Linked DNA regions of Ovis aries. The protein of the gene in region 7 interacts with the protein of the main gene of each other region in a pairwise test. Links are inferred from orthologs where the notes say so. Each region holds a gene or a part of one and is shown on either strand. Other genes may lie near its edges. The genes, in order: ACSF2, GAD2, SNX15, NDRG4, SNX11, SHMT2 and ARL6IP1.

Region 1 (3,500 bases), on a different chromosome or scaffold from region 7:
AGGAGGGATGGCCCCCAGAGATGAGTAAGGAGTGAGCGGCCCAAGATATGGGATGATGTACCCCTCCCGACCCGGGACACCCCCACCTCTGACTCTTCAAGGCCCCTGGCTGGGCCTTCTCCACCTCTGGACAGATCTGCTTCAGGATGTTGTAGTAATGCTGAGTCTTGAATTGCTTGGGAAATACAAGGGCTTTGCAGCCCACCTGTAGAAGGGCAGCCCCCCGCCACGGTCAGCAGGAAGCCCCAGCCTGGGAATGTGGTGGAGTCCTGACAGTTGCTCTCCCTCCCATACACTGACACCGAAATACACACAGCCGCCACCCCCAACACACACACTGGCCTGTCTGACCAACCACCCCTCCTCCCGCCCACTGCCTGAAGAAGGACAGACTCAGGGTGTCACCTGTGCATGCCCCCACCCCTCTCAGCCTTCTGTGACAGCTGGAAGCCCCCTGTGCTAGGTACTAGCTGGCTTCCCCCACAGTACCCAAGGAATGCGCCCACCTTCTTGAGGGCATACTCCAGCTCCATAGCCTGGTACGCTGGATTCACAGATACCTGGTGGAGACAGTGAGGGTACGTCACGTGTCCTGGGCAGATGCTGTCCCACTTGCAGCCCCTCCACCCTCAGAGGCAGCACCCTGTACCTTCAGGCTTCCTTAGTGGGCTTCAGGAGAAAGCACTAGCTGGTCTGAAACCAGCCAGGCACTGGTGTGATTCTGGGGCCAAGGGCCCAGGGAGCTCCCCTGAATGATGCCCTCCCCCCTGCATATCCAGCTATGCCAGGCAATCCCCTCCTCACCAGAATGATGCCAGCCTGGGCTGTGGCCAGCTGCATGAGTACCCATGCATAGGAGTTGGGCCCCCACATGCCCAGCCGGTCACCCTTGCGGAGGCCGATACTCAAGAGCCCAGAAGCAGCTTTATCCACCTGGAATAAACAGAAGGGGAACAGAAGAGTGAGATGTAGGTGAGCAGAAAGGAGCCCATGACTCTGACTTTAGCCTTTGGCCCAGGGGTTCACACCAGAACCACTTGGGAATGAGGGACAGGCAGATACGCAGGCCTGAGATCTGGAGGGGGATTTGGGGACATGCATAGTTACACAGTGTCCCAGGAACAACTGACGCAGGAGGCACCTGGACCACCTCTGCCTCAGCCCTGCCCCCCACTCCTGATATTCTCAGGCAGCCCCAGCATGCTGCCCCATAGCCGGGCACCACCCTTGCAGCTCCACCAAGCTTGGCACCTGGGGGCCAGCACCTGCCCACTTTGAAGGTTCAGAGTCAGGACCCACCTCCTCCTTGAGTTGGGCAAAGGTCAACCTGATGTTTTCATGGTGGACAACCAAGGCCTCCTGGTCTGGGATCCTCTGTGCTGTGGCATCCAGGCACCGCCCCACAGTCTTGTTACTAAGGTGCAATCCGACGTGGCCCTGGACATAGCTGAAGCCTCCGACAGGCAAGGGGACGGTGTGATCCAGCTCTCCAGAACTGTGGGAAAAGGGGCTATGGGTTCAACTACACCAAGCCAGGCCTCCCTGGAACCAAAGGCTGGCACATCGTGCTAGGTTGCATACAACGTGTGCAGGAAACTCCAGAAACTGTCTGATCTGCCCCATTGCCAGGGACCCATTTAACTTAGGAGCTACTTTGCCCTTGGGAAATCAAAACCTGGAGGCTGACTTCTGTCCCTAATCGGAGAGAAGGTTCTTCTCCCCGCCCTTCTCCTCAGTTTCCACTGAGTGCCAAGCGTCTGGAGCCTTGGTATCCAAACCCTAGAAAGGGATACTAAGGTCAGTCATGCTGAGAGGTAGCCTGGGAGGGCTGGGAATGGCCTCATTCTAGACACCACCTCCTCCTGGTAAAAAGACCCCTGCGTATCTGTCAAAACCCACAGAATGATCTAACACAAGGACTAAACCCTGATGTAAACTTGGACCACAGTCAACAATAATGTACCATGCGTGCATGTTTGCTGAGTCGCTTCAGTCTAGCCTGACTCTTTGCGACCCTATGAACTGTAGCCTGCCACGCTCCTCTGTCCGTGAGATTCTCCAGGCAAGAATACTGGAGTCAGTTGTTGCGCCCTCCCTCCAGGGATCTTCCTGACTCAGGGATTGAACCTGTGTCTCTTACACTGGTGGGCAGGTTCTTTACCACTAGCACCACCTGGGAAGTCAATAATGTCCCATACTAGTTCACTAATTGTAATGTACCATACTAATGCAGATGTTAATATTAGAGAAACAGTGCCAGGGATGGGGTCAGGGGTGGGCCTAACGAACTCTATGTATGATCTACTCAGTTATTCTGTAACTAAAACTGTAATGAATTATTAAAACAATTATTTTTTTATTATTTAAAAAAAAAGGTCCCCAGAAGTCTAAGTATCATAAGCTTAGGCCTGCTTATGCCCATTTGCCAGAGCTGGGTGACAGGTGCTGGGCTCCCATCCAGGCCCAGAGAAGTATATGACAGCTCTCAGACCCTGTTCTTATCTGAGAGGGCACGCTCCAGATCCAGGCTTTCCAGACCACCCCATCAGGGTGGTGTGGGCCCTGGGGACCCTTCCTGATGATTCAGTCCTACAGTTGCTGAGCTGAAAAGGCCAATCCTAACCGTCACTGATTGGCTGCTTCTGGCTTATGGGGGAGAATTTCAGGACAGAATAAAGTATGCAGGGCAGAGGGGAGCAAATTGGGTTTCCCTATAAATGAGAGGAGACCTCACGTCACATGAGGGTGTGTCCCGGTGCAGGCTGATGGGTAGGTTGTCCTGACTTCAATAAAGATGAGTCACAAACTGTAGAGCTTGGGGCCTTTGGTCTCATCCCAGGTGTGCCGCTGGCTGGGTGGGAGATTGTCACAAACACCTTCGGTGTCCCTTGCCATGTGTCCTCAGCACATTTCTAGTTTCACTGATAGGGCAGTTTCTTGAGGTTCTGTCCTCAGTGACTCCCTCAAGTTTCTCCTTCTGTGGCTGGGCAGTTCTGGGAGGCATCAAGCCTGGAGGGCGTGGGTAAGATCCTGGTTGCCCACAAACGCCCCAAATTGACTTCTTGTCTCCTCTCCATACTCCCTCACTCCTGCTTCCCAAGATCACAAATAAACCACCTGCACCCACGTACTTGTTCTCAAGAAAATCCAAGTGAAGATATCTGTGTTTTCTCCTCTCTGGGCCTCACCCTCCCCACCTATAAAGTCTGAGGACTTGGATCAGTGGTTATCCTCAAAGGGATGCTATCTAGATCACCTTCCTGGGCAATCTTCTCAAAGACTGTAGTGAGCCACCTAAGCCAGCTGGTTTCCTCAGGTGTGCCAGGACAGAAAACAGCCAGAAGTCACAGGCCTCTGAAGCCCTGCAAGCCCCCACATTCTACCACTCAGGCTGGCAGACCTAAACAACTACTGAGGTAGTTCCTCACAGTCACCATAACACCCCTCAAAAGAGACTGTGTACCCACATCCTTCCCTCACAGGCATAATGTGGAGGGTGC
Region 2 (3,986 bases), on a different chromosome or scaffold from region 7:
ATGCCTTTTACGCTTTCATTTCTAGATTCTCTTTTTTTCTTTCTCTATAGGAGAGTCACTTCTACTGGCCTCTACTGACAAATGGTTGCTTCTACTCAGTGGATAATTTCCGTGGCCAAATAGTGTGATGTAAAATCTGATGATTTATATCTAGGTAACATTTCCGACTTCAAAACAATGAACAATAACAGTAAAGGGTGCTTTTGACATTAATCATTCTAATCACGACTTTTTAAATGATGAAAATAATGCTGTAAATTTGAAATTATCAACTCCATAAAAGAAAACATTTTCCTAGAAAAAATAAAAATCATAAAAGAAAAAAGAGCTTTATTATTTCTGATCAGACAATACCTGTTTTAATTGCATATTTTAGAGTTGTTTGGCAATGCATCAAAATTTCCTCCAAATTTTGTGGTTGGTCTGCCAATTCCCAATTATATTCTTGAAGAAGCTCATTAGGGTAATGAAAATCAATCACTTTGGTTGATCTATCAAAACTCTTCACCACATACTGAAGCAAAATGTCCATAACCTCTTGCAGAAACGCCAAAGTGGGCCTTTCTCCGTCACACGCTGGCAGCAGGTCTAAGAACAAAATCAAAATGCCACGTTTTAATTTTACAATGAAAATATCCAGGAAAGGTCTTCATCTGACACTTTCTCTCTGAACTGAGATTTTATGTTAAAAAAAATCTTCTGGAAAAGCAGAGCATCTTCTTTAAACGGGAGGTATTTTTCAAAAATGAAGGAATGAAAAAAATACGATTTCTTTCCTTATCCCAAATTTTCTTGCATTTCAGTTCATAACCAATTTGCTTCCTTTTCCTATCTTTTTTTTTTTTTTAAAGAAAATATACTTCCATTCATCTGTTTCGTCCGGGTTCTCGCTAAACGGTATTTCTCAGTAAGTCATCTTAAACGATCACTTCAAGTCAGGAATGTCTGAGGAATGCTTTTGGGTAAATCGGGCAAAATGGCTCATAAGATTTTGGTTATCACTTGGCTTATTATTATCCTATGGCATCACAGGATCTCTGGCTTATTAACTAAGGCCCGCTGTTTCCTAAGTCAGCGTGTCTCTCTGTGTGTGGTGTGTGTGTGTGTGCGCGCGCGCGCTCGCACACTGGGTGTGCAAGTACGAGAGTGAAACTGCGCGCAGGTTTCCTGTCAATCTTTTTCCAGAAACCACAGCTACAAATCACTCTTGCGATCTGAAGACCTAGAAAGTCTAAGCTATTTTGAACAAGAAACCACATCTCACCCGAGGCCTCGGGCGCACGGAGAATAGGACCTGGAGCTAGTGTGCGCCGGGGCGCCTCGGCCACCCGGAGACCCGAGGCCGGCGCTGGGCGCAGAGCGCCCGCAGTCCGGGAGCCCGCTTGGAACCACGGAGCCCAGCGCCACGCTGAGGCCCGGGTCTGGGTCTGACCGAGAGGGCAGGCCCAGCGTTTCTCGAGGTCTGCTGGAGTGTCTCCTAAGGTCTGCTTTTGCCCTGCACCTCGACGTCCCGGCTCAGGCTCCCGGCGCCGAGTCCCTCCTGGCCACGGTGGCCGCGGCAGGGCGAGGGGCAGAAGCTCCCGGGACCCCGGCGAGGCGCCCTTACCTGTTGCGTGTAGAAATGCATAGTTGACCTCCGCTTTGGGGCAGCTGCAGGGTTTCTGGTTGCAGGCGCAGGCGGCCTTGCGGGAGGTGGCCCGCGGGGGCTGGCTCCCGCCGCTCTCCGCCGGCTTCTCGGCGTCTCCATAGAGCAGGGCTGGGCAAGGACAAGGAGCGCGGACCTAGGTCGGCGGCCCGCCGGCCCGGCTCCCAGCCCCCGACCCCCATCCCCGGTCCCCAAATCAAGAATATCCGACCCCTCATGGGATGCGGAGGTGAGAGGGTGGCTTTGACTTCCTCGGGCTTCGCGGTGCCTGGCCATGTCCGCCTCCCTCCCTCGGGCACCCGCGCAGGCACTCACCGCACAGTTTGTTTCCGATGCCGCCCGTGAACTTCTGGGCCACCTGACACCAGGCCCTGGCTGCAAGGAAAGACAGGTGGGAGGACAGCGAGGCAGAAAGAAAACAGCAGACACACGTGTGAAATTTCGTTCTTTGTGAACGTCAATAAACCCGGGCTCCGGGAAAAGCTGCCTGCCTGGCGCCCGCACAGCGAGCAGGTGCCAGAGGCGGCGGGAGCCTGGCGGCCCGGCTCGACCCTTGGCTGTTTCCTCAGAAGCGGCCCACACTGTGGCCCTTTGCACTTGCCTTTCAGGTACCACTCGGTTAGGACAAAGTCTCCTTCTTGCCTCGCTTGGGCGAGTTTTCCTCGACACCCGAGGCTGCCCATTTCCTCGCACGCTCTCCTTTCAGATCAACAATTCTCTCCCCTTTCCAATTTTCCTTTTCCCCACCCTCTCTCTCTCCAGACACTAAGACCGTGACAGAATCCCAGGCCCAGGAATTCGGTGTCGAGGAGACACGGCCTTGTTTAGAGGCTCTCCCAGATTTCAGCGGAAAGAACCAGACGGTCCCTGGGCATCTTCCCAGGGGATAAGAGTCTGTTGGGTCATCAAGGACCCACCCCGAGGGCAGGGCTAAGCGTCCGAAGTTTCCTGTTGCAGGTGGGAAAACCTTCAATCTTCCCCAGCCCCTCAAACCCAGTCCGCCCGCAAAGCTCTCCGCCTGCAGGTCCCGTTTCTCCTACCTGTGCCGGGGTTCTCGGGATCCCCCGAGCCATCTTCAGATCCGAAGGACCAAAAGCCCGGAGATGCCATCAGCGCTGCGATACTGGAGCAAGACGCCTCTGAGTGCAAACTGCCGGCGAGCTGCCTGCCCTCCGCTCCGCCCTGCGCGCGCGCGTGCGTGCGTTTGTGTGTGTTTGTGTGTGTGAGTGTGTGTGGCGGTAGGAGGAACACCGCGCGGGGTCTGGAGCGGCCGCACGACAGAGGGTGGGTGTCACACAGGGGCAGGAAACGTGCGTGTCCGTGTGCGCGCGTGTGTGTTGGGATTAGAGCTCAGCGAAGTGGCAAAGCTCTGAAAGCTTCGGGGAGTGAATAGAGGAGAGGATTGAAGGGTCCTTACCGCCGGGAGATGGGAAAGCGACCGAGCACTCGAGCGATTTTGAGGGAGAGGGAGCCCAGCCGGGACGCACGAGGGGGCGGAGGAGGGAAAAACGGGAGGGAGAGAGCTGAATCGTCCGAGGGCGAGGCAGACAGTGCGCCCGTGCAGGAGTCAGCGTTAGCGGGTGGGAGGTGAGCAGGCGATCCCTGGGGAGCGTGCGGCGCGAGGATGCTGGCGACCCCGGGGGCGCTGTCCAGGGTGCTAACGCGGCGGACTGCGCGCCGGCACCAGCGCGGGGAGACCACAGAGACCTTGGCGAGGCGGGAAAGGCGGAGGAGACAGCCTTTTATTTGCGACGATTGGTGTATTGTTTGAGGTCTGGTTCCGACTGCGGAGAAGGAGGCGCTAAGTCCTCGCCACCTTCCTGCGAGAGAGTGCTGAGGTCGCTGTGACCCCCCGGAGTCCCGGCGGCTGGGGGAATCTGGAGCCGTTCGCGAGCCTGGGAAGGGGACTGTGCGGGAAGGGCACCTAGGCACTGATGGGCTCAGTCCTGCTCCTTAGTAGAGCCTAACTCCTGCCCACTGAGCCGCGTAGTCTCCCCGAGGTGGGGGCTGGGAACCATTCCTGCGCTTCAGAGCGCTTGGTCGCCGAGCCCACTGCTCAAGTTCTGACTGACGGCTTGGGAGAAAGACTGCTGATTGAGGCAATTAAAATTCACGCTGAAATCTATCACCAAGAACCTCAGGCTGGGCAGAGAAATAATATGAATGGAAACTTCTTGGAAGGCGGCAAGGAAGAACAACTAGAGCCAGCAGGATTGACGGCTGATGGCTGATGGCTGATGGGGGATGCGGTCGAGTCATTCGGTGACCTTGATCGGCGAAGGCGTGGAAGGACCGCTGCTTACACGTCAGGGGAATCGTTGTATGCGTGAGAAGCCTGCAC
Region 3 (4,090 bases), on a different chromosome or scaffold from region 7:
TCGAGTGTTGGTGAGAATGAGAGTATAAAATGGTACAACTACTTTGGAAAACTGAAAATTACTAGGAAAAGTTACACATATGCCCAGCAAATGGCCCAGCAATGCCCAGGTACTCTCTTTTTTTCAACTCTTACTTATTATTGAATTACAGTTGATTTTGAACTTATTTTTGAACTGTGGTATTGGAAAAGATTCTTGAGAGTCCCTTCGACTGCAAGGCGATCAACCAGTCAATCCTAAAGGAAATGAGTCCTGAATATTCACTGGAAGGACTGATGCTGAAGCTGAGACTCCAATACTTTGGCCACTTGATGTGAAGAACCTATTCATTGGAAAAGACCCTGATGCTGGGAAAGACTGAAGGCGGGAGGAGAAGGGGACAACAGAGGATAAGATGGTTGGATGGCATCACCGACTCAATGGACATGAGTTTGAGTAGGTTCCAGGAGCTGGTAACGGACAGGGAAGCCTGGCATACTGCAGTCCATGGGGCCGCAAAGAGTCTGACTGAACTGAGATAGCTGATTTACAATATTCAGGTATATACACATACATAAATAATATTTTTCAGATTCTTTTCCATTATAGTTTATTAGTTTATTACAAGATGGGATCCTGGTGGCTCAGACGGTAAAGAATCTGCCTGCAATGCAGGAAACCTGGGCTTGATCCCTGGCTGGGGAAGATCCCTGGAGAATGAAATGGCGACCCATTTCAGTATTCTTGCCTGGAGAATTCCATGGACAGGGGAGCTTGGCAGGCTATAGTCCATGGGGTAACAAAGGGTCGGACACGACTGAGTGACTAATACTTCTTCTTATTACAAGATATCAACTATAGGGACTTTCCTGGCAGTCCAGTGGTTAAGATGCCAGGCTTCTATTGCAAGGGGCATGGGTTTGATCCCTGGTCAGGGATCTAAGACCCCATATGCCTGGGGGTGAGGCAAAAAAAAAGAGAAAGATATTGCCTATAGTTCCCTGTGCTATACAGTAGGGCCTTGTTGCTCATCCTTTTTTTTTTTTTTTTTAAGATTTATTTATTTATTTTTGGTTGCGCTGGGTCTTCATTGCTGGGTGCAGACTTTCTAGTTCTCTATTTGCGGTGCGCAGGCTTCCTATTGTGGTGGCTTCTTTCATTGCAGAGCATGGTCTCTACGGCACACAGGCTCAGTAGTTGTGGAGCACTAGCAGCTGCTTTGTGGCATGTGGCATGTTCCCGGACCAGGGATCGAACTCGTACCCTGCTTTGGCAGGCAGATTCTTAACCACTAGACCACCAGGGAAGCCCTAATCTATTTTATATATAGTAGTTTGTATCTGCTAATTCCAAGCTCCTAATTTATTCCCCACCCCACTTTCCCTTATGGTAACCATTAGTTTATTGTCTGTGAGTCTGTTCATTTTAAAATAAGTTGATTTGTATAATTTTTTTAGATTCCAGATATAAGTGATACCATATGACATTTGTCTTGGATTATCTTTTTATTTTCATTTTGTAATTTTTTTTAAATATTTGCATTTTTTAGGTACAGGAATGACACAAAAGATTTGAGGAAAGACCATTTTAAACATCTAGGATTCTGCATTTAAATCATTTCGGAAATCTTTACATTTCTGCTTTAAGTTATTAATGCACCAGTTTAATAGTTGCCTACTTCAAAATTGTAAAAATACAAAAATATTTAGTGAAAAATCTTCCCCAATTAGTTCTTGTATGTCATTCTACAGATAATATTATAGTTTCTGTTTTTAATCCCTTTCATGATATCCTGTCTCTATACACTTATAACGTTATTACTACTTCGTATACCAACTTTCGTCTTTATCTACTGACTTCCTGTTATGACTGTGAAGAGACTTATTCCTTTATTTCTTTTGAAGTGTATGAATTTTTAATCATACACAGGGATAATTTTTTGAAAAAAATTTAAAGTAATTCAACTCCTTAAAGAGTTTTCATATGAATATCAAACAAACCAACAGACAAAGCTTACTCCAAGAGACTGGAGACCTAATCAGTATTTGGGATGAGCCAGTTTTCAGCTTAACTTAAAGAAATTCACAGCCTGACGCCAAGCTGCCACGCATTGGGCGTGGACACACCTCGCAGTCTGGGAACTGCCGGCACGCCCTTTTAAAAGAGCAGCGCCCTCCTGTGGCCCCGCCCCTTGATGGCTAAAGAAGTAAACTAGGGCCGATTAACCACCACTCCCCCCCCTTAAAGGGGAAATCCATTCTGTTGTCTAAAATGGGCGCTTCCAGCAGCGTCTTGCTTTGAAGTAAAACACGGCCCCGCTCTTGTTAAAAGGGTAAATTCCCGCTGGGCCCCACCTTACCTGCGCCGTCACTTTGTATTCAGTGTAGCCCTTGGGGTGGGTCCGGGGGTCGGAGACTGTGTAGTGTCGCAGGAAGTCGTCTTTCGCCTGCCGGGACATGGCAAATAAATTGGAGCGGAGCTGACCGCCGGCCTCCGCCTCCTCCACCCCGCCCCCGCCCCTCCAGTTCAGTCTTCCCCAGTCGCCGCCTCGCCCGGGCCTGCGCCTTTCATCCTACGGCCCAGGGAGCTGGTCGCAAGTGACAGCGCAATTCTCGGCCAGGCGCTTGGCCAAGGGAGCGTCTAAAAAGTTCTCGATGGTTGGTAAAGCCGGAACCAAGTGATTTGGGAAAGGATTGGGGAAGAGTAAGGAAGGCAATGGCAACCCACTCCAGTACCCTTGTCTGGAAAATGCCATGGATGGAGGAGCCTAGTAGGCTGCAGTCCATGGGGTCGCGAAGAGTCGGACATGACAGAGCGACTTCACTTTCACTTTTCACTTTCATGCATTGGAGAAGGAAATGGCGACCCACTCCAGTGTTCTTGCCTGGAGAATCCCAGGGACGGGGGCTGCCTCTGGTGGGCTGCTGTCTATGGGGTCGCACAGAGTCGGACACGACTGAAGCGACTTAGCAGCAGCAGCAGCAGCAGCAAGGATTGGGCAAGCTGGATCACTCAGGTTTGCTTAGAGATAAACCCACCCCATGCGATGGTAAACCCTCATCAGTTCAGTTCAGTCGCTCAGTAGTGTCCGACTCTTTGCGAACCCATGAATCGCAGCATGCCAGGCCTCCCTGTCCATCACCATCTCCCAGAGTTCACTCAGACTCACGTCCATCGAGTCAGTGATGCCATCCAGCCATCTCATCCTCGGTCGTCCCCTTCTCCTCCTGCCCCCAATCCCTCCCAGCATCAGAGTCTTTTCCAATGAGTCAACTCTGCATGAGGTGGCCAAAGTACTGGAGTTTCAGCTTTAGCATCATTCCTTCCAAAGAAATCCCAGCGCTGATCTTCTTCAGAATGGACTGGTTGGATCTCCTTGCAGTCCAAGGGACTCTCGAGTTTTCTCCAACACCACATTTCAAAAGCATCAATTCTTCGGCGCTCAGCCTTCTTCACAGTCCAACTCTCACGTCCATACACTACTGGAAAAACCATAGCCTTGACTAGATGGACCTTAGTCAGCAAAGTAATGTCTCTGCTTTTGAATATACTATCTAGGTTGGTCATAACTTTTCTTCCAAGGAGTGAGCGTCTTTTAATTTCATGGCTGCAGTCACCATCTGCAGTGATTTTGGAGCCCCCCAAAATAAAGTCTGACACTGTTTCCACTGTTTCCCCATCTATTTCCCATGAAGTGATGAGACCAGATGCCATGATCTTCGTTTTCTGAATGTTGAGCTTTAAGCCAACTTTTTCACTCTCCTCTTTCACGTTCATCAAGAGGCTTTTTAGTTCCTCTTCACTTTCTGCCATAAAGGTGGTGTCATCTGCATATCTGAGGTTATTGATATTTCTCCCGGCAATCTTGATTCCAGCTTGTGTTTCTTCCAGTCCAGTGTTTCTCATGATGTACTCTGCATATAAGTTAAATAAGCAGGGTGACAATATACAGCCTTGACGTACTCCTTTTCCTATTTGGAACCAGTCTGTTGTTCCATGTCCAGTTCTAACTGTTGCTTCCTGACCTGCATACAGATTTCTCAAGAGGCAGGTCAGGTGGTCTGTATTCCCATCTCTCTCAGAATTTTCCACAGTTTATTGTGATCCACAC
Region 4 (3,500 bases), on a different chromosome or scaffold from region 7:
GTGAGCAGAAGTGCTACTGAAGGACAGGCCTGGGCCGTGCAGCGGCTGCGGTGGACCCAGAAGTGTGGCTCCCGGCGTGTGGCCTTGGGCCCCAGGGTTGGCACCACCAGTCCTTCCCTTTTGGAGATGGGGCCAGGCAGTGGTCCTCTCAGCCCTGACCCAAGAAGGCCGGTCACCTAAGGCTCCCCTTTCTTGTCGGAGGCAGAAACTTTGTTTCTCTCTGAATATGAGTGTACTCCACTAAAAGGTGGGGAAAAGCGCTGCTTCTGTCTCTCATAACACCTGGCACACAGTAGGTGCTCAGTCACATGGTGATTCTCCTTGACCTCAGCCCGACCTCCAACTCCCTGGGAGGGACCACCCACCTCCTGCAGTCCCCAAGACTCTCCCTGAGAGGGCAGGGCTGTTTATTCAGCATTGACAGACCCGCTGGGAGTCTGCCTGTGAGTGGCCAAGAGGGACCAATTCCCAGAAAGACCAGCCAGCAGGGCTCGGGGATGCGCCCACCAATGGCAGCCCCCTTTCTGGGGCCAGGTATCAGCTTATCTAGTTCTCCCTGAACCCCCATGAGATGGCTCAGAAAGAGGTGGTTGAAGCACAGAGAGGTGCGTGTCCCGCTCAGAGTCACACAGTAAGGGGCAGAGCGGGTCCTGAACCTGCAGCACTCAGCTCCTGCTTCCTGAAGGACTGATGACCTCGAGCAGCAAACCCAAGGGGGCTGACCCAGGAGGAGCCCAGAGCCGCCACTAGACACATGGTGTCTAGCCTGGCCCTGACCAAGGGAGGCCTTGGGGATCTCAGAGAGGCAGGAGCGAGAGCCTGGGGGTGGAAACAGGAACAGCTGTGGGGGTGGGCGGCTGGACTGGCTGGCATGGGGTCTTCACCGTGGATTCTAGGTGGGCTGAGGCCCTTTTGCAGGGTTCTGAGTCCAGGGGGAACATGATGAGGGTGGGACTCGATGGGGAAGGCAGAGCTGACCCAGAGGGGCTGCAGTGAGATGGGAAAAAATGGGCCTCACTGGACCCTGGAGGGCTGAGTGCTGCTGGGCTGGGGCGCCCCACTGGCTGGTTTGCGGAGGAGACTGGAATGTTCATGTGCAGCCCAGTTTATGTTGCCCCTGTGCTGAACACCCATGGGGAGAGATGTACTCTCTGGTCTGTCCCCTCCGGGGGCTGCTGGGGGTGATGAAAAGGGGATGCCTAGCCTATGAGGGGAGGGGTGAAGGTCCCACCATAGGCCCAGCAGCCCCCAGGCTGCTCCCCAGCCTCGTTTCCCAGAAGAGCCAGGAGTGAGGGGCTGCCCAGAGGGTCCAGCGCGGTCTCTCCCCTCCAGGAACATGACATCGAGACGCCTTACGGCCTTCTTCACGTGGTGATCCGGGGCTCCCCCAAGGGGAACCGCCCAGCTATCCTTACCTACCATGACGTGGGGCTCAACCGTAAGTGTGCCCTCCTCTGCCTAGGGTCTGCTGGAATAGTGAGGCCCCCTCCCTCCCCACAGGGCTGTGTGGATCCCCACTCACGCTTAGCTCTATGCCTCCAGCCATGTGGGTCTTGGTTTCCCCGCTGAACCATGAGGCTGATCATCACCTCTGCCTTGACCTGCCTCCCAGCATCCACGGGCCTCATGGGCCTCCCCATCCCCCCATCCCTTCCTCCCACTTCCCCGGTTCCTTGGCTCAGCCAGAGCTGAGAGCTGTGTCTTTGCAGACAAGCTGTGCTTCAACACCTTCTTCAATTTTGAGGACATGCAGGAGATCACCAAGCACTTCGTGGTGTGCCACGTGGATGCCCCCGGTCAGCAGGTGGGGGCGTCACAGTTTCCTCAGGGGTAGGTACCAGGAATGCCCCGCCCCCAGCTTTCTCTAGGCCCCCCTACCTCCAGCTGCCCCGGAACTGACTTCTTGCTCCACCTGCAGGTACCAGTTCCCCTCCATGGAGCAGCTGGCCGCCATGCTCCCCAGTGTGGTACAGCACTTTGGGTGAGTCCCTGCCCAGTCCCCCACCCCAGAGGTGCCCACCACCGCCACAGAGCCAGCAGCTTCGAGCTGAGGGCTCAGGGCTATGGCTAGGTCTGCACTGGATGGCCATCAAGGGGAAGGAAACCCCTGGAGTGACCAGCATGCTCTCTGTCAGGTTCAAGTACGTGATTGGCATTGGAGTGGGAGCCGGAGCATATGTGCTGGCCAAGTTTGCAGTAAGTCTACCCACCACCACCCCAGGCCCAGCTAATCCCAGGACTGGTCCCCCCAGGGGCAACCTGCAGGAACTTTCTGAGTTCTTTCTTCCTCTCCTCCTCCCTCTACTTCCTCTTCACTTAGAAAAGTCCTTTTTCCTTTCTTTCCTCCAAGGAAATTAACTTTTAAAAAAAGTTAATTTTTTCATACATTTCCTTAAAACACTATACTCCGTAAGTTGCTCAAACCATTATCCAAAACCAACAAGCTGTACAACTAATGAGCCACTAAGTAAGGATGATCTTAATTCCTCATTCACTAATTAGAGTAATACTTAAACATGAATGATTTTTTAACCAAAAATTACACTTACGTTAAGTTTTGAGGTTTAAAAAAGTCAGATTTCAGAAACATCATATCAGGCAGGAGGAGCCCACAAGCTTTCCATCTCTAAAAAGAAAACCTAATTTTTAGGACTCAAAGTATTTCTTTCTTCAAAACAAAGAACAAAACAAAAAACCTGACCAAGAATTTTCAGCTCCAGTTTTGACTGCAGTACTTAACCACCTTGTTGACTGTCAGTCATTCCCTGCTACCCCAGACAGCCTTGACATGACCGCAGTATGTATATATTACCATTTTCTCCTAACCACGGGCAGACAGTCGAAGGGAAAACTCCAGTCTCTTTTACAATGTCTAACACAGAACAGGCTTTGGAAAGCTCAGTTTCTTCACATCACTAGGGCTTTTTCTATGAAAGCAAAGAAACAGTATTTTATTGAGGATGTTTAGTTCTCAGTGTTGCAATAGAAACCTCTTCAAGTGAAAGTCACTCAGTCCTGTCCGACTCTGCGACCCCACGGGCTATACAGTCCATGGAATTCTCCAGGCCAGAATACTGGAGTGGGTAGCCTTTCCCTTCTCCAGGGGATCTTCTCCACCCAGGAATCGAATTGGGGTCTCCTGCATTGCGGACTGATTCTTTACCAACTGAGCTATAAGGGAACCTCTTCAAAGATATATTTAAAAGCTGAAAAACTGTTCTCAGCTGAAGGCACTTGGTCATCGATTGCACCTTGGAAGCCCTTACAGAACACGTCCTCCTCTTCAGACCCTTACCACCCTCCACGGCCCACGAGACAGGCAGGGTTGGAACTTTACAGTCCGTTTTCTAGTGGAAAGATAGGGGCTCCCTGCACCCCGTCCCGCCCCTCAAGTCCTGTCTCCCTGTCACGGCAGCTCATCTTCCCCGACCTGGTGGAGGGGCTGGTGCTGATGAACATCGACCCCAACGGCAAAGGCTGGATCGACTGGGCGGCCACCA
Region 5 (3,960 bases), on a different chromosome or scaffold from region 7:
AATTACGAATTAAAGCAAGATTTGCACTGGGACTTTTTAACTCCTTAAAGGAAACACGGAATGAAGGCAGGCAGCAGAAAACCTGGAAAAGATAATAAAATGCGTTCCATCTTTTCTTCACACATTCTTACAGCCGATCAACCAGGAAGCAAGCGGTGGCCAGTTTTTCCCTTTTCTTGAGCAAGCCTCACAGAAAAGCTCTCGGGACCTCCGCCCACTTACTCTAACAGTTTCTCCCCGCCACCCCCAGTCCCCGAGCAAAACCAGGCAAATACCACCCCTCCTTCTAGACCCTTCCCCAATTTACTCAACAGACCTCCCCAAAGCACTACACTTGGGGCTGCCCTGCCCCCCCAGCCGCTTACAATTTCCTCGAAGTTACCGCTCCGCAACTCCGCAAGCGGAGTTCCTATGGCAGCCCTGGCGGGACCCAATATTCTCAGGTTACATTTCTAACCTCGGGTCTTGCAGTCGTCAACCCTCCCTACGCTGGTTCAAGCGCCCAGGCTATCCCGTCCGTCCTCTTCCCAATTGACTATGTTTCCTCTCCAGCCCAATCCCCCAGCCGCCCACCCAACCCACGTAGCATTGTCTTGGTCTACTCAGGCCGAAGGGCGACCCGCAAACGCTCGGCCCACCCCAAATCGCTTCAATCTCTGGCTCCGGACTCGCCGCCCCGCCCTCTCCATCTTCTCGCGCTCTTCGCCCTACCCACTGCGCCCGGCAGAAGACTGCGCGGGGAGGGAGAGGGAGTCGGGCGCGCTCCCCGCTCCTAACCTCCGCCGCGAGCTCGCGGCCCCTGATCCAGGGCTCCCGCCGCCGCCGCCGCCGCCGCCGCGCGCCATCCCCCCGCTTGCCCGCCTCTAGCGGGCTCTTCACCTCAGAGCAGCGCCCACAAGCCCGAGAGGAATCGGTGCCGCGCTACTGGCGGGTCTTGTCCGGCCGGCCGGGGGAGTGGCGACCAGAAAAGCAACAAGCCGGGTGACCACTGTCGAGCCCCCTCACTGAAGCGGCGTACCGCAGGCCCCTGCCAACGGCCCTCCCCTCAGACGAACAAAAGAGCCTCGCACTCTGCGCTGCCCGCCGCCCGCACCGCGCAGGCGCGATGACCCGCCGCACAGCAATATGGGACTCGGAGTCCGTCCCGGACTACAAGACCCGAAGTGCTGCGCGCCTTCCACGGCGCCACGCACAGTTTGCGAGGGTTTCGAGAAGTTTTAATTTTTCTACCACTAGTGTCGGAGACGGAGAAGGCAATGGCACCCCACTCCAGTACTCGTGCCTGGAAAATCCCATGGACGGAGGAGCCTGGTAGGCTGCAGTCCACGGGGTTGCTGAGTCGGACGACTGAGCGACTTCACTTTCACTTTCATGCATTGGAGAAGGACATGGCAACCCACTCCACTGTTCTTGCCTGGAGAATCCCAGGGACAGAGGAGCCTGGTAGGAGGCCGTCTATGGGGTCGCACAGAGTCGGACACCACTGAAGCGACTTAGCAGCAGCAGCAGTGTCGGAGAAGGCGATGGCATCCCACTCCAGTACTCTTGCCTGGAAAATCCCATGGGCGGAGGAGCGTGGTAGGCTGCAGTCCGTGGGGTCGCGAAGAGTCGGACACGACTGAGCGACTTCGCTTTCACCTTTCACTTTCATGCATTGGAGAAGGAAATGGCAACCCACTCCAGTGTTCTTGCCTGGAGAATCCCAGGGACGGGGGAGCCTGGTTGGCTGCCGTCTGTGGGGTCGTACAGAGTCGGACACGACTGAAGCGACTTAGCAGCAGCAGCAGCAGCAGTGCCGAAGCGACTGTTAGTTGAGAACGCTGCAACCTAGCAAACTAAAGCGTGTGGTTTTACAAGCGAACCCCTTGATGTTTGGTGTAAAATATAAACCACTTTTGGACAGTAGTTCACATCCTTGAAAATTTTGAATCTTATTTCTCACCAGATCTCTATAAGGCTTTCTCACCAGATCTTTATAAGGCTTCTAGTTCTTATCGTTGAGATTAAAGTACTTCCCCTTCGAGGCCTTCCCTGACCTCCTAAGCTAGGCTAGGTCCCCCTGGTAGGTGTCATTCATGATACCCTGAACTTCCCCCTTACACTGGCTGCACGAATGGGCGGCTTTAGGGCCGAAACCCTCAATATCCATGAGTACCCTTCCCTCACCCAGCCTCCTCAAAGACACACCGAAACAGGCAAAAAACCTGTTTCTTATTCTTTGAGACAAGTGTTCTAGTTTTGATTTCAGCTAGACTGCTGTCCCCAAACTTGTTCATGTGGAAATTCGGTCTCATGATGATGTTCATCCTACTTTACTGTCATTAATTAGTATCTGTCTTTGTTGGACTTAAAACTCCACTCCCGTTAGTGCAGAAACCTCTGCCCAGTACAGCGCCTAGCATAAGACAGTCAAATCAACATTTGTTGAATAAATGATTAAATAGGTTAATATGTGGGCTTCCCTTGTGGCTCAGCTGATAAAGAATCTGCCTGCAATGCAGGATACCTAGGTTCGATCCCTGGGTTGGGAAGATCTCCTGGAGAAGGGAAAGGCTACCCACTTCAGTATTCTGGCCCGGAGAATTCCATGGACTGTATAATCCATGCAGTTGCAGAGTCTGACAGGACTGAGCCTCAGCGACTTTCACTTTCACTTCTCAGGTGGCTCAGTGGTAAAGAACCTCCCTGCCAATGCAGGAGAGGCGGATTGGGTCCCTGGGTCAGGAAGAATACCTGGAGGAGGAAATACCAACCCACTCCAGTATTCTTGCTGGAAATTCCCACGCATGGGGGAGCCTGGCGTGCTGCATACCATGGGGTCTCAAAGAGTCAGACACCACTGGGGCAACCTAGCACACGCTCATAGGAGCAACTGAGCACGCACACAAATTAATGTTCTTTTCCTCCTTGAAAGAAAATGGAGGTGATCAAGCTTTCATCTTTTTTCTTCACATCACGTTCATGGGGTTTTTCCATCTCCCCCTTACTCTACATTTCCTTGTTCAATTAGAATCTAAACAGAATGTCTACCAAAAGGTGACCTTTCCCCCCTTACTTGGAATTCAAATATCCTTCTAATCAGAAGAAAAGGAGAAAGGAAACGAGTCTACTGCACTCCGCCCCAGAAAGCAGGAGTCTGCATTTATATAACAGTTTTGCTGAGTCCGGAGAAGGCAATGGCACCCCACTCCAGTACTCTTGCCTGGAAAATCCCATGGGCGGAGGAGCGTGGTAGGCTGCAGTCCATGGGGTCGCGAGAGTCGGACACGACTGAGCGACTTCACTTTCACCTTTCACTTTCATGCATTGAAGAAGGAAATGGCAACCCACTCCAGTGTTCTTGCCTGGAGAATCCCAGAGACGGGGAGCCTGGTGGGCTGCGTCTATGGGGTCGCACAGAGTCGGACACGACTGAAGCGACTTAGCAGCAGCAACATCAGTTTGCTGAGTCAGGTACCGTACAGAGTACGGTAGATAACTGGGGGTCTACAGAAATATTCTAGAACCCGTAGTGGGTTCTAGAGAACTGCCATGTAAGAAGAACCCAGCCCAACAATATCATAAGAGTTTTGCTGAAAGACCCATGAGACGGGCGAAGGGGGCAGTTCTTCTCGAGACATTTTTTGGTTGGGTGTCCAAAAATTCATCTATTCACTCTCTCCTGAAGTACATTAGTTTGTTTTAGATAATTTCAGTGATAGAAACTTAGTTGTAATAGTATTACTTATTATTGAGTGCTTATTCCCCAGTTCTACAAATCTTAAGTCTTTGATTAATATTATTTAATCCTCTCTTTGAAAAGCATGCGTGGGGGGACTTTCCTGGTAGTCCAGTAGCTAAGTCTCCATGCTCCCAGTGCAGGGGTCCTGGATTCTATCCCTGGTCAGGGAACTAGATCCTACGTCCACATGTGGCAACTAAGACCCCCACATAGCCAAATAAATACATTTTTTCTTATTT
Region 6 (2,964 bases), on a different chromosome or scaffold from region 7:
CCCTTGATCCCAGCAGCGGAAGCGCCTCTGACCCTCAGCTTCAGTCCCACGAGGGGGAGGAGCAGTTAAAGGGCAGGGAGTAGCCTAACCCAAAAGGCTCATGCCAGACCCTCTGCCCCATTACTCTGGCTTTGGAGGGCGGGTCCATGCTACATGTTGAGCGTGGCCTACGTGAGAGACAAGACCAAGCAGGGGCCTGAGTGCCAAATGACGTGGCAGGCCCCACGTTAGCCCAGGCTACAGGATCCCTGGCGCCAGCCTGGGGGCGGTGCTACTCTGGCTCGCTGGGCTCGACCAGGCTCGTCGCTGACAGTACAGCCAGCTGGAGGCACCTACACTCAGGAAGGTGCGGCTTGCTTCTCCGGTGTCTGCGCTGCTTCCCCTGCTTCCCTCCCGCTTTTGGTACCACTGGACAACCTCCCCCACCCTCGCCTCACACCTGGGCCTCCCCAACCTCTCCCCTACTTCCCTCAGTCCCCAGGGATCAAACAGAAGCAGCCTTGGGCAAAATACAATTTCATTTAACAAATTGAATTTGTTGCGCCTGCTAATCACGTCTGGTGTCGCTTCTGATCAGAGGGAGAGGAGGAGGCAGCCTTGGGGGTCCTTGTGGTGGTGGTGAGAGGGAAATGAGGAGCACATTGAAGGAGAGGAATACCACCTGGCTCAGGGGACCCCCAGGGCCCCCCCCTCCCCGCCAGTAACAGAAGCTCAGGGCAGGTTAGTATTTTATTAGATAGAAACAGAAAGGAGGGTGCCTACCCACCCCTTCCTCTCGCTCAGGAGAGGAACTCCCCCCTCCCTAAGAAAGGGCAGGGGTCTATAATACTGACGTAATGGGAGAGGTTAGGGCAGAAAGCTCCAAGCCTCCTCCTTCTCAGTCGTATTACAAGAAGAAACCTCAGCTCCACGTTCTGAGAAGTGGAACTACACATGGTTCTTGCCCTAAGTCAGGGGTACCTTCCCTCCGCCAGCAGAAAGCTGGAAGAGGAGCAGTTACCACCCCCTCCCCAGGTTGTCCAGGAAGGTGAAGAGGGAGACATGTTAGTCCGCACGCAGGCTTCGTTTCTTAGGTGCCTTCAGTGATCATCAAAGCCAGGCATGGGGAAGGCCCTGGCGAACTGCTCCACCCGTTGCCTAAGGTCGGCCAGCTGATGACTTGTTTCTGGGTCTTTGAGCAGGAAAGATTTGAAATCCTGGAGTTTGGCTAGACACAGGTGAGGAAAAAAATGTGGTCAGAGCTTAGGGGAAGGCAGTGAGATCAGCTGGAGGAGGGGGAGATAGTGTGAACTGGCTGGGGGGCAGGGGAGGTCTTATCCACTCACTGGTCTTGCTCTTCACTTCCAAGCCAATGTTGACACCTTCATCTATAAAGCCTACAACTTTCCGGAAGTCATCTTCACGGAACCCTCGAGAAGTCAGGGCTGGGGCCCCTGCAAGAGAGGCAGAAGAGGATTAGCACAGCCCCAGTCCATCTGGCAGTCATCGCCCCCCTACCAGAACGCAGGTTTACCCAGCCGCAGGCCCCCAGGTGTGATGGCGCTTCGATCTCCAGGACAGGTGTTCTTGTTGGCCGTGATGGATACAAGTTCCAACACCCGTTCTGCTCGAGCTCCGTCCAGGCCCTTTGGCCGCAGGTCCACCAGCACTAGGTGGTTGTCAGTGCCACCTGAGGCGGGGAGAGTCAGCAGGGAGTGGTGAGTCCTGGGCCTCCGAGGCTACCGGGGTGTGCACCTCCCCCTCCCCACCCCCTAGCTCACCAGACACTAGGGAGTAGCCTCGCTCCAGCAGGGCATCAGCCATGGCCTGAGCGTTCTTCAGAATCTGCAGGGAGTACTCCCGGAACATGGGGGTGCAGGCCTGGAGAAGAGGCGGCAGCACTGTCGCCTTAAGCCCGGCCCCTCCTGCCCCACCACCCCCAGCATACTTGGGACCCCATCCCCACGCCCTGCCAGCCTGACACCTCCCTTCCATCTGCTCCAATTTCAGCTAGCAAGGTGCAGGGTCTGAGCCTCCGGGCCCTGCCCCCACCCACTCCACAAGAGTAGGCTCCCCAACCTGCTTTAGGGCCACAGCCACTGCAGCAATGGCATGGTTGTGGGGGCCCCCCTGCAGGGATGGAAACACAGCAAAGTTGATTCGGTCCTCAAATGTGTAAGGGATCTCTCGGCCAGTTTTGGGGTCCACAGCCTGTACCCCCTTCCGGTAGAAGATGAGTCCTGACCTGTGTGGGAGGTAACGCGGTCAGAATCTAATCTGACAAGAAAGAGCATGGGGGTGGGGAGAGCAGAGGAAACTGGCTGGCCTGGCCGCCACTGGCTCTCAGAGTCCAGCCCAGTGGTGTTCAGTATGCCGGACTCCAGGGCTTGAGGGGAGCAGACCTCACCTCCACCCCCAAACCCCCTGCCGGGGAACTGCCACCAAGGGCAAGAAAAGAAGAAGTATCCTAGACAGGGCTTCCGGTGGGAACAAACTCACATCCAACCTCAACCATGCCCCGGGGTGGGGCATGAAGACAGGGAGAGGCAAGGAAAGACCTCAGGGAAGCCTGACCTGGCCCCTCGAAGGGTCTTGTGAGTGGTCGTGGTGACGATATCTGCGTGCTTGAAGGGTGAGGGGATCACCTTGGCAGCCACCAGGCCACTGATGTGGGCTATGTCTGCCAAGAGGTGTGCCTTGACCTCGTCACACACCTAGGCGGGTACAGAGGAGGACAGAGATAGGCCTCAGCCTGGGGAGGGCCCAGACAGGCCTGCCCAAGGCTTGTCCCTCGTCCCAAGTCTCCTCACCACCCCTTGGGGAGGGCAGAGATTCCAGCCCACCACTAACTTTTCTCATGCAGGCGTAGTCAATGAGGCGAGCATAGGCACTGGTACCAGCTATGATGAGTCGTGGTCTGAAGAGCCGAGCAGTGAGTGCCAGCTGGTCATAGTCAATGAGGCCGGTTTGGGGCTAGACAGACAG
Region 7 (4,151 bases):
AAAACTATGTTTACTGTTTTGAATTATTCCTAAGTTACTTATGAAATTAGTATTACCTTAAATATCAATGGTAAAAAATGTAAAGCAGACATACTATGGAAAGCTCATTATGAGTTCTGCAATCACTGAAAAATCATTACCAAAAAAAGCCTCACTTCAATAAAAAGGTCTAGAAAGAAAAAAGTCAAAATAAATGCTAGAGTATAAAAGAACTATGGAGATATAAGTACTGGAAATTCACGATTTATATGTGAATCAGCTAAAAAGTTCTTTACATCAAACAGTAAGTCTAATCCCTAGCTGTTAATTAAGGCAGCTCTCTGTGTGTGATTATAGCACCCTAGTCACAGTTATCAGGTTCGCAACTTCTCAGAAATTTGAATGCCACATCATTATGCCACCTACCATTTATTGGAGCCAAAAATTCTAGGTGCTAGAATGGGAACAAGGTAGTCAGCCAAGCACAAAAACATAACAAAACAGGAAACACCAGATAGAACAGATGGATCTAGATAGTAGATAGTCCTGTTTAAAAAAAAAAAGTAACAAAGGTTAGAAAAATATGGTCTTTATCAGTGCTAGCTGAAGACGTTTATTCAGTTAGTCCTCTGGTTCTCAAAAGATGTTATCTGCCCTTCCTATTCTCATTTTCTCACAAGTGGTTTTCCAGAAGTTTTGTGACATGATGACATCCCAGCCATAACGGTTAACGTAAACATCAAGAGGCAAAAGCCCTTTGGGGTCCTCAACACCTTCTAGGAGTGTAAACAGTCCTAAGTTTGAACCACAGATTTATTTCACTGCACCGGTTACTGACTTTACATAGTACTATGGATTCTGAAAACCAGGCAGGCGGCTCTAAGGCAAGGCATTTTTTTACAGATTTTAAAATTACAAGACTTCAGGCACTTCCATAAATGAAACCTGAACCATTATTAGTAACAAGCATAAATCTATTGTAATTTAATAGCTCACTTACAGAAACACCAAAGAAACCACACCCATAATGGCAGGTGGAAACCAGGCTCTTTCCCATCGGAGGATTTTATCTGCCATCAGCATCACTTCTCCCCATCCTTGCAGCTGCTCTTCCAGACTTGCAGTCTCTGCAGCCTACATATGAGCAACGTTTAAAGCAATCATTTTACTAATCTCAACATTTCTGTGACTCCTAGAGATACCAAAGTCAGAAACCAATGGGGGGAAAATTATCATGTAACGGTCACTTTCCAAGCCCAAGCACTGGGGTTATGTAACATAATCCTTATAAGACCCCTTAAGATAGGGATAATCAGACCCATTTACAATTAAAGTGAGTTCAGAATGGTTATTTTCCCAAAACCATGCACTGCTAACTGTAGGCTTCCCTGGTGGCTCAGACGGTTAATCATCTGTCTACAATGCGGGAGACCTGGGTTCGATCCCTGGGTCGGGAAGATTCTCTGAAGAAGGAAATGGCAACCCATTCCAGCACTCTTGCCTAGAAAATCCCATGGATGCAGTAGCTTGGTGCAGGCTACTCCGTCCATGGGATCGCAAACAGTCGGACACGACTGAGCGACTTCACTTCACTATGCACTGCTAAGTGGCACTGCTCCAAGTATAAAATAAGATCACTTGAAGTTTGCTCATTTCAGGTTGTTACAATCGATCTGTTCTTTGGTCATTTCATTGATTTAACCCCCTACTCCTGAATACATGAGGAAAGCCTCTCCCTGAACAGCATTCATTTCCAAAATAGCTCTTGGTGTACTAGAATCATCTGTATATTGGCATCACTTGCACAAGTAAGGAAAACTACTGTGCTTTCTTCGAATTATAAGACTTATTAAGCCCAATATATCTCAATAAAATGCTCCTTACACTTATCAGGATGCTTTGGTTAGATGTCAAATTTCTCTGCAAATCTGACAATCAGCTGCAAGCAGACTTCTCAGATGAGCTAAGCAGACTTCTCAGATGAGCTAATGTGGCAAAAAACCTTTAAGTTGATTTTGTTTTTTGTTGTTGTTTGGTTGGTTTTTTTCGTTGCATGTAAGCTAAGTTTCGGAGACAGCAATGGCACCCCATTCGGGCTGAGGTTATAATTGTCTGCCTTTGATACAAGCTCACTGCAGTTCCCTTCGACCCCTGCTTACTCTAAAATCGTCCTGTGACACCCCCTCCCAGTCTTAGAAGTTCCAGACAAACGCCAGGAACCTCCCATTGTCCTTCCAGCTGGATCCCACCTCCATTTTCCAGCCGTGAGCTCGAAGCCTCCCTGCCGTTTTAAGCCGTGCCAGGCTCTAACAGAAACGCTCGGGAAGAGCCCTTTGACCCTCCACTCCTGCCCAAGCATTAGGGTAAAGGGCGAAGGGACATTCTGGTTAAGATCAAGGAAGGGGAGACACAGATACGGCTGGAGTCTGGGCCCCAAAAGCGCTCGACAGGCCCCTCGCGGCTCTCTGCCACTGACTGCAACCCAGACTGGTCACAGCCCCCTTCTCCAGCTTCCTCCTCTATTCGCAGTGAATGATCACGCGCCCTCCTCGCTCCATCGCGCACCTTCCCCAAGGGGGTGTTAGGAGACGCCACGACTAGTCACTGTCAAGCAGAGGTTAACCAAGAAGCCAAAAGGGCAAGCGTCATCGCCTACACCAGGGAAGGGAGCGGAGGGCCGGGCCCGCCGCGGGTGATAAGAACAAGGCCGCAGCTCAGTCCCACGGAGCACACCAAAGTCCGGAGGCTCCACTCGGTCCTCTGGCGACTAGTCGCTGGGACTCACCAGCAGATTGGTGCTGCGATTATCTCCTTCCGCCATAGTTCTCGAGGTGTGCCGTCTCAGCGAGCACAGGACGAAACCACAACAAATCCTCCACAGACTCCCTCGCCGCACCCCTAGCGCGAGGATACGCCCCGCAGCCCTCTTATATAGGCCGGCTGCCTTTCCCGACAGACCCTGCGAAGCTCGTTCCTCATTGGACAAATCGAGATCAAGCTTGAACAGGTCGGACCAACCGCTGCCCAGCGCATGACTTGAAACCGAGGTCAAAGGAGAGAAACCTCGCCAGTGCCCCGGGGGCGGGGCCATGGGATGGCCAATCAGCGCCCAGTAGGTGACAACGCCCCGCCCAGGCCTCTCCTAAGCGGTTCAACGGCCGCTCCCGGGGGCCTGGCCTGGCTTCAGTATTCCTAAGGCGGGCCGCCAGGTGGCTCTCGGACGATCTTCCAGTGGACTTCAAAGCAGCTAAGCATGCTCTCTGGAATTGAGTCCTTAAGGAAATATGCCACGCAGTATCAGGCGGAGGGCAGAGATGGGCATGTGACAGTAACCTCCTTAAGGGGGCGGGCTGGGATCTTCTCCCAGATCCAGCGGGTGGCCCTGGGCCTGGCTGTTCCCCGAGTTGGACCCACATTTCTTCTAATCCCTGCTCTGGCAGCCCTCGTCAGGCTGCTGAGCAGTTTAGCCTAGATTTGTGACTTGGAGACTCGTGCCCATCTCATGAGCTTTGTGGACAAGGGAAAAGGGCATAAATTCTAGGTTTTCTGTAATTTTCCTCCCCTACTCATTAGGAATAAGGTCTTAGATGGACGGGCGGGGGGCGGCAGAGGGGGTGTGGACATCTGGGCAGAGTTTGAGAGCTTGTGAAAAATGCACTTTATAAAACTGGTTCATTTTCGTGGGTTCTTTGGGAAAGTTCTTAATAGAACACCTCACTTGAAACCGCATGTTCCCCCTCCAAAAAGGGGCTGGTTTTGACAGATCCTTTCATATAAGGAAAGATGTAAACCATCTTGAGTGGAATTCATTGCAATTTAAGAACTAGATGATCAATGTGAGACACATTTTCTCTCCAGGATTTCAAAATGCATTAACGTTTTCATTACTCAACACAAAATAATGCCAAATGTTGACCTTTCAGATATCTCTTTCAGAAAAACATGCCATAGCTTTCAACTTCCAGTCTTTTATCCTTTTGCAGTCATCTATATTATGCCATCGTTTATTTTAAAAACGTTCCTTAAATAACTACCAGGTTCATAAAAAGTTCAGGGAAGGCATAAAGAAATGTGAGCCAACACAGCTACAGACCACATGCTGCCCCTAAGAAAACTAGGGGGACAGAAGCATTGTGAATATCATTAAAAGTTATGAAATTTGCCATTGAACT

The links.
Region 1: the proteins of ARL6IP1 (region 7) and ACSF2 interact in binary tests that used the Homo sapiens proteins (3 or more experiments, as listed by UniProt). The two-hybrid records come from large-scale screens. The link is inferred for Ovis aries from reciprocal best matches to the Homo sapiens genes ARL6IP1 and ACSF2.
Region 2: the proteins of ARL6IP1 (region 7) and GAD2 interact in binary tests that used the Homo sapiens proteins (3 or more experiments, as listed by UniProt). The two-hybrid records come from large-scale screens. The link is inferred for Ovis aries from reciprocal best matches to the Homo sapiens genes ARL6IP1 and GAD2.
Region 3: the proteins of ARL6IP1 (region 7) and SNX15 interact in binary tests that used the Homo sapiens proteins (3 or more experiments, as listed by UniProt). The two-hybrid records come from large-scale screens. The link is inferred for Ovis aries from reciprocal best matches to the Homo sapiens genes ARL6IP1 and SNX15.
Region 4: the proteins of ARL6IP1 (region 7) and NDRG4 interact in binary tests that used the Homo sapiens proteins (3 or more experiments, as listed by UniProt). The two-hybrid records come from large-scale screens. The link is inferred for Ovis aries from reciprocal best matches to the Homo sapiens genes ARL6IP1 and NDRG4.
Region 5: the proteins of ARL6IP1 (region 7) and SNX11 interact in binary tests that used the Homo sapiens proteins (3 or more experiments, as listed by UniProt). The two-hybrid records come from large-scale screens. The link is inferred for Ovis aries from reciprocal best matches to the Homo sapiens genes ARL6IP1 and SNX11.
Region 6: the proteins of ARL6IP1 (region 7) and SHMT2 interact in binary tests that used the Homo sapiens proteins (3 or more experiments, as listed by UniProt). The two-hybrid records come from large-scale screens. The link is inferred for Ovis aries from reciprocal best matches to the Homo sapiens genes ARL6IP1 and SHMT2.

Annotation. Positions count from the first base shown.
Region 1 is NC_056064.1:35,985,318-35,988,817, forward strand, and holds part of ACSF2 (medium-chain acyl-CoA ligase ACSF2, mitochondrial), read right to left. Parts: intron 1,496-3,500; coding exon 1,300-1,495; intron 934-1,299; coding exon 805-933; intron 561-804; coding exon 507-560; intron 206-506; coding exon 87-205; intron 1-86. UniProt on the Homo sapiens protein: Acyl-CoA synthases catalyze the initial reaction in fatty acid metabolism, by forming a thioester with CoA. Has some preference toward medium-chain substrates. Plays a role in adipocyte differentiation.
Region 2 is NC_056066.1:26,034,813-26,038,798, reverse strand, and holds the start of GAD2 (glutamate decarboxylase 2), read right to left. Parts: upstream 2,801-3,986; 5' UTR 2,756-2,800; coding exon 2,686-2,755; intron 2,021-2,685; coding exon 1,961-2,020; intron 1,757-1,960; coding exon 1,607-1,756; intron 589-1,606; coding exon 355-588; intron 1-354. UniProt on the Homo sapiens protein: Catalyzes the production of GABA.
Region 3 is NC_056074.1:39,693,176-39,697,265, reverse strand, and holds the start of SNX15 (sorting nexin-15), read right to left. Parts: upstream 2,801-4,090; 5' UTR 2,766-2,800; coding exon 2,715-2,765; intron 2,540-2,714; exon of another isoform or gene 2,438-2,539; coding exon of another isoform or gene 2,426-2,437; coding exon 2,339-2,425; intron 1-2,338. UniProt on the Homo sapiens protein: May be involved in several stages of intracellular trafficking. Overexpression of SNX15 disrupts the normal trafficking of proteins from the plasma membrane to recycling endosomes or the TGN.
Region 4 is NC_056067.1:25,875,446-25,878,945, forward strand, and holds part of NDRG4 (protein NDRG4), read left to right. Parts: intron 1-1,332; coding exon 1,333-1,438; intron 1,439-1,709; coding exon 1,710-1,830; intron 1,831-1,918; coding exon 1,919-1,981; intron 1,982-2,135; coding exon 2,136-2,196; intron 2,197-3,415; coding exon 3,416-3,500. UniProt on the Homo sapiens protein: Contributes to the maintenance of intracerebral BDNF levels within the normal range, which is necessary for the preservation of spatial learning and the resistance to neuronal cell death caused by ischemic stress.
Region 5 is NC_056064.1:38,124,438-38,128,397, reverse strand, and holds the start of SNX11 (sorting nexin-11), read left to right. Parts: upstream 1-1,160; 5' UTR 1,161-3,960. UniProt on the Homo sapiens protein: Phosphoinositide-binding protein involved in protein sorting and membrane trafficking in endosomes. Regulates the levels of TRPV3 by promoting its trafficking from the cell membrane to lysosome for degradation.
Region 6 is NC_056056.1:162,387,019-162,389,982, forward strand, and holds the end of SHMT2 (serine hydroxymethyltransferase, mitochondrial), read right to left. Parts: intron 2,953-2,964; coding exon 2,830-2,952; intron 2,694-2,829; coding exon 2,554-2,693; intron 2,225-2,553; coding exon 2,059-2,224; intron 1,861-2,058; coding exon 1,761-1,860; intron 1,670-1,760; coding exon 1,514-1,669; intron 1,434-1,513; coding exon 1,326-1,433; intron 1,208-1,325; coding exon 1,080-1,207; 3' UTR 501-1,079; downstream 1-500. UniProt on the Homo sapiens protein: Catalyzes the cleavage of serine to glycine accompanied with the production of 5,10-methylenetetrahydrofolate, an essential intermediate for purine biosynthesis.
Region 7 is NC_056077.1:16,929,073-16,933,223, forward strand, and holds the start of ARL6IP1 (ADP-ribosylation factor-like protein 6-interacting protein 1), read right to left. Parts: upstream 2,801-4,151; coding exon 2,765-2,800; intron 1,114-2,764; coding exon 980-1,113; intron 526-979; coding exon 406-525; intron 1-405. UniProt on the Homo sapiens protein: Positively regulates SLC1A1/EAAC1-mediated glutamate transport by increasing its affinity for glutamate in a PKC activity-dependent manner.